2 linked regions of the Drosophila melanogaster genome follow. The protein of the gene in region 1 binds, or shares a complex with, the protein of each later gene. Each region holds a gene or a part of one and is shown on either strand. Other genes may lie near its edges.

What was found. The genes of interacting proteins can lie anywhere in the genome.
Region 2: msd1 (region 1) and wac share a complex: the UniProt entries of both Drosophila melanogaster proteins name them as parts of the augmin complex.

The regions. Positions count from the first base shown.
Region 1 is NT_037436.4:1,329,872-1,332,838, forward strand, and holds msd1 (mitotic spindle density 1), read left to right. Parts: upstream 1-1,872; 5' UTR 1,873-1,910; coding exon 1,911-1,947; intron 1,948-2,002; coding exon 2,003-2,382; 3' UTR 2,383-2,455; downstream 2,456-2,967. Other genes in the region: ND-ACP (NADH dehydrogenase (ubiquinone) acyl carrier protein), read left to right, coding at 270-419, 992-1,078, 1,171-1,299, 1,409-1,588; msd5 (mitotic spindle density 5), read right to left, coding at 2,481-2,967. UniProt on the Drosophila melanogaster protein: As part of the augmin complex, plays a role in centrosome-independent generation of spindle microtubules.
Region 2 is NT_037436.4:256,419-259,597, forward strand, and holds wac (wee augmin), read left to right. Parts: upstream 1-1,757; 5' UTR 1,758-1,973; coding exon 1,974-1,977; intron 1,978-1,987; exon of another isoform or gene 1,988-2,032; coding exon 2,033-2,345; intron 2,346-2,404; coding exon 2,405-2,579; 3' UTR 2,580-2,679; downstream 2,680-3,179. Other genes in the region: DIP2 (DISCO interacting protein 2), read right to left, coding at 1-175, 231-638, 712-783, 1,135-1,207; Tudor-SN (tudor staphylococcal nuclease), read right to left, coding at 3,085-3,179. UniProt on the Drosophila melanogaster protein: As part of the augmin complex, plays a role in centrosome-independent generation of spindle microtubules.

The sequences.
Region 1 (2,967 bases):
ATTTAACTGTAAATTATAGTTGGGAAAGTTACTTACTCATTATTCAAGTATTAAGTATTTTTAGTATTTATTTGCGTAAGTTGAGAAACAGCTTAGTACATTGCGCATACGGTCACACTGCTACCTTGCTGTCTTTTTCTTGCTCCAGCACTTTTACATAATCTTGAAAACTCAGCGTAAATATCGCCCAAAATACGAGACCTGCACTCGTGCACCGTCTGCAGAGATGCGATACTAACCCGCTGCGTTTCCGTTGCAGGAGAACCGAGATGTCGTTCACACAGATCGCGCGCAGCTGCAGTCGACTGGCGGCCACTTTGGCCCCAAGGAGGGTCGCCTCCGGCATTCTCATCCAATCACAGGCCTCCAGGATGATGCACAGGATCGCCGTGCCATCGATGACCAGCCAGTTGAGCCAAGTAAGCGAACGTCCAAAGCGGTCCCTTCCGTTGCAGGAGCCCCAATCGCAGTTGAGGACCTAACCTCATCGCAAACGGCGGGGTTTCGTGATCTACGAGTTTCAAAACATTCAATTAAGTGCTTGCAATCATGAACGCAACAGAAGATCCTCGCCATGTGGCCGTCGAACCACCCAATTCGATTGCATCACATTATTTTGCATAAAACATGATTGTTTCCCTATCGCACACACACACACATACACCTGCAACACCGGTGCTCGCACTTGTGTGCGGTTGATTGTACTACAGTGAAAATCCTCTAGAAGTGACCTTAAAATGTAGCGGTTTTAAAACATGTGATTTCAGTTTGTTAAATATCTAAATATGTTTCCACGCCAATCCAAGCAATAGTTTTCGCGGTATTTAATCAGTTGATCATACACCATCGAACCACCCTCGTTTAAATTGCGTATATATTTACACTGCTCATTGAAGAATTAGCTAAGTTGTATGCACCATAAGTCGTAGATGAACTACCAATGCAATTATTCATATAGAGACGAAAATTCACTAGACATTAACATTCGCAGAAGTTCGGTGTGCGCAGCTACTCGGCCAAGAGCACCATCGAGGACATCAAGTTCCGCGTGCTAAAGGTTGTCTCCGCCTACGACAAAGTGACCGCCGAAAAGGTAAAGTACCCATTGCATGGCGCCACTAATCCGGTCTTTGTTTCCTTCCTTTTTTTCTCGGGCCGGCCAAAAACCAGGAGTGCCGTGGTCGCTGGCAAACGCAATTGGTGCGCAGATACTCGGCGAAACCGCCGCTCTCGCTGAAGCTGATCAATGAGCGCGTCTTGCTTGTGCTCAAGCTCTACGACAAGATCGATCCCAGCAAGGTAAACGCCACATATTGCCTTTGCCAGTGCAATGGTCGCCTCAGAAATCAGAACTGAACAAAGCTGATGAAACCTTTGAATACCCAATGCTAATGGCTCGCATTTACAGCTCAACGTTGAGTCGCACTTCATCAACGACTTGGGACTGGATTCCTTGGACCACGTGGAGGTCATCATGGCCATGGAGGACGAGTTCGGTTTCGAGATCCCCGACTCTGATGCCGAGAAGCTGCTTAAACCTGCCGACATTATTAAGTACGTCGCCGACAAGGAGGATGTGTACGAGTAAATTGTAATTGTAATGCAAGCCATTGAACGGATTACACTTAAATTTAAATAGAAAACAAGTCAAATACAATTTGATCAACTGAATAAACCAAACGTTAAATTAACTTGTAGTCAGCAATTGTACACGAGGGCTATAATTAACTGCGGAATAGCAGCTAATAAATTAACTATCCAAATAAATAAACGAGTCATTTAGTACTGGCGGTTAAATTTAAATTTCGATAGAAACGTTGGTCTTTCGATTGTTTTAGAAAGCCTTGTGTATTTTAGATACGCAGCGACGGTCACGTTAATCTGCTAGCATTACAAACAGAATATTCGAAATGTCAGACGCTGTGGACAAAATGTTGGCGGGAATGGGTAAATATATCTTTAAACCACCGACACGCGTTCTATTCCGTGCTTCCAATTTCAGCGGCCAATCGGCAGACCATGAACCGCCAGCTGGCTAAGATAGACGAGATAATGGAGCGGTCGAACAACACATTGCTCCACATCGAGTCCAACAGCAAGGCATTCAGTCAGAATGTGGCTTTGTCGGAGACCCAGAAGATGTACAACCTCAGGCCGGAGGCTGAGATGACCCTGTCCAAGATCCTGGAGAACTTCAAGCTGCTCATGTCTAGCAGTGACCAGCGGGAGGAGACATACAGCGCTCTGGAGGGCTGCCTGGCCTACAGGCATCGCGTGGAGCACCTTGGCAGCTCCGTGCGTAAGCTGGTGGCGCTCTACGACACCGTGGGCCAGATGAAGAACTCACAGGAAGAGCAGTATGCCAGCGAGGATTCCCCCTAGCTCATCCATTTTTAGAATTTATTATTATGTTATAGTTGAAAAATAATTTAAATAAATTAAACATTTGATTTGTATTTAAAGCTCTTTAAGCGAGGTTTTCAAATCATGGCCATATTGTAGCTGCTGACTTGGAGAAGCGTATAGGTAAGCACCTCTACGAACATCTCCAGGCGAGCGGCAAGACTCCCGGTGGCGAGTATCTCATTGGGATTGGGCAGCTGGAGGCTGTTGGAGCGCAGGTAGTTGAGCTGTTCCATATTGGCGGCTATGGTCAGAAGCTTCTCCTGCTGCTCGGATGTAAAAGCATCTGGCGGAGACTCACCGCCGGTTGGCATGAGCTTTTCCAGCTGCTGCGCAAATCCATGGAGCTGCGTCAGCTTCTGCTTGTATATGGATTCTGTGGTGTCCAGAGCGGCTGCCTCGTCGTAGATCTTGGCCAGCTTTCGCTGGAAACCCTTAAAATCATTGTACACGTCCACGGCACTGCGCTGCTCCTCCAGACGCGTCAGACTCAGCGAAACGTTGGATGTGTTGATGCCCATGGCCACCGACTCGTCTGCTCCTCGCAGGAGCGTTGAGTTGGTA
Region 2 (3,179 bases), 1.1 Mb from region 1:
TCGGGGGAAATTGTCTCCTCGGGTATGGATTCGTCATCCGTCGATGAGTCCAGCTCATCATTGCACCCAGGGCTTCGGTTTAATACAGATGTGCGCTTCGATGGCATTGGAAGGCTGGGTTTTGGCCGTCCCTTAAGAGCTGCAAGGGCCTGTTGCACAGCCTCTTGTCGTACTTCTAGGGGTCAGATGATCAGAGATAAAATGTTGTTGCTGTAACTTGTTCTACTAACCAGAATGATAACGTTTCTCATTGTGCGTTACTTTGCGCTGTGTGCGTCGTTGACGATGCTGACTATTATTAGTTGACTGTTGGTTCTGAAAAGCACTTGGTTCGCGAGTGTTCTGATACCCGGGATCGCCGACTGCTCCACCCTGCGGTCGCATATTTTCGTAGCCAGGAGCCCCAGCATTTCCGCTCTGTGGTGCCGATGACAAGCTCATGGCGGCTTGCTGATGGAAGTCAATTTTTTTGGAATGTCTTTGCTGCGAGGAGGACAGGGAGGGCACTTCAGTCACATAACTGTAGCCCTCGCTGGACACAATGACGCCGTCGTTATTGATGTTTCCGTGGTTGGTGCTGTTGTTGGCATTTTTAACGTTGTAGTATGGCGGTGGCGGCGTACTTTTCACTTTATCGCCTGTTCACAACAAAAGGATCAAGAACTTTCTGGTGACGACCAAACGACCAAATATCAATGTTTTCGAACATACCTTCTGGCTTCTTTAGGAACGGCTGCAACAGCTTCGCCCTTTTCTTTTCGTAGCCTTTCTGCGTAATGTCACCTAGAAAAGCAGATGGAATTGTTTTCTTAACGATTAATATGTCCGCTGGGCCTCGTCGTTTTTTGAAAAGCGTGGAGTAGCGACTGAATCATGTATTCATGCTGAAAGCCACACAACACAACACACACACTTTTCTTTTAATTGGTCGGTCCCCGACTATATGTGGGCAGCTTTCAGCGAAAGAAAAGCCGAGAACAGCACTTGTAATCCCATTTGGGGGCGACAAGTATCCAATGATTTGAATCAGACCAGACTACGTCTGCCACAGTTTTCACGCGATTTTCTACAACTCAGTCGCCGCACTTTAACAACAATATTTTATTTTTGTGTGTATTATTCAAATAGGTATACCTTCCGACAGCTCTAAGTCCAGTTCGGCGAGCTTCTCGCGGACGTAGCCAGGCAGCGAGGCAGTGTGCTCCATGGCAGATGAAAAGTGTGGCTTTAGGGTTTTGTTCTATCCTCTTCCTTGGAGGATTCGTCTAAACTTTGGCTGGTCGCAGTACACAAACACACCCAGACACCGCTACTTTCCCACTTCGTTGTCAAAAATCGATCGATTTGCCATTTATTCTATTTCACATTTTGCCGACGCAAATAAATACATCCGTACTTGCGCAGCACCAGTACTTTGGGTTAGTTAGAAAACACGATATTACGAATGTCTTTTACGAATTTGCACAATGAAAGTAAACAAAGAAAAATAGCAGTACAAATCGATTTTATGAACTAGCGAAAAATTGATAACTATTTCTTCATACTCTTGGGACAACGGCCTTTTTCAATTTTCGAGATGCGGTCACACTGCCCAAGTAATCGAACCACGAATTTAAGTGTTATTTTTAATGATATTAGGCATAGAACCATTACAATTAAAAAGCTCTATTATTTATTACTTTAATCGCTTGTCTCTTAAAATTCGATTCAACAAAAGCAATTGGTGGCATTTTGCTAGGTAGCCCTGAAATACTGTAGAGACTATCGATATCTGCACCTAAGGCGCCTATTATCACATTCGGATTACGAAGACAAAGACATGCGAAACCTGGATACGATTAGTGGCGAAGAAAAGCAAAGTCCTGCCAACTTAGTCTAAATTGTTTCTAAGCCGGCTGCCTATACGCCTGCGTTTTGAGCAAAGCGGTAGTATCTTTTTCGGAACCATCGATAGCTTGTCATCTCCAGTAAAAATGCGTGAGTTTATTTAAAAAAAACGCTAGGCATACAACTAATTATTCTTATGATGCAGAGAACTTGAAGATCCAAGAGGAAGTCAATTCATTGATGCGTCTAGGCCAGCACTTCGATGACCAGTTAAAGCTGGCTAGCGTCGAGTTGGGCGATTTCTCGGACGATGACCTGGCGCTCCTTGACAAATGCGCCCAATATTATTCACTTTTGCACATTCACGACATCAATCTGAACTACTTGCGCGACTTCTATTGTGCCAAGAAGAGGGAATGCATAGAAAACCGGCAGACCACAGTGCAGCAACGCGTAGAGCTGCAGCGCATCCTCTCGTCCATCGAGGAGGCGACTAGGGACGTAGTTATGTTGGAGAGGTATTGGTGAACAAATCCCTTTAATAGTTGAATCCCTGACCAAAACCATTCTTCTGCAGATTTAATGCTGCTGCGGAAGAGCGGCTCATCCCGGATATCGTCGTAATGCAGCGAAACGCCCAACAGCTTGCAACAAAACAGGCCTTACTGGACCGGCAAAAAACCCTTAAGATCCCAAAGGATTTTAGCATTGAAAGTGTCATCGAGAAGGTAGATTCGCTGGAGCAGCGCTAAAGAAGTGAATTGCTTTCGTTTTTAAAAAATTATTTAATTGTATTTACTCAGTAATGCAAAACACTTTACAAAAACATAAAATCTGCAAATTTTAAAGATGAATGTTGAGGTTTACAACTTGGAACACTACACAATCAGAGGGTGCACTTATTTTGGTTATTGTACGCATTTTAAAAACGTTCCAATTGTTGCTAGGTTGTGTCAAATATTTATTTAAAGTATCATGATAGGAAAACTAGAAGACCAAATAATAATTTGCCAGCTGCTTAAAGCATACAAAAAGTGTACCGTGTTCTTCCATGCCATTGCTCATATGTATGTATTTGTGTATTTCCAATGTGGTATATGTATCATATATATTGGTGTATAGATAGAATTAGTAATTTCATATTCTTTAAGTTCTTGCTTGTTGTTATGTATATAAAGGGCGGGTATGTGGCAGACAATCTTTTCGGCTAGCAACGCGCTCCACGCCACAGGCCTACTCCACGTTTCCGGGCATCTTTTAGCGGAACTCGGGCGCATCATCTTGCGTTATGTCACCGTACTTCCAGATGGCCAGATGCGCGACCCGAGCTGCTTCCTGCGCGGCTTTGTACT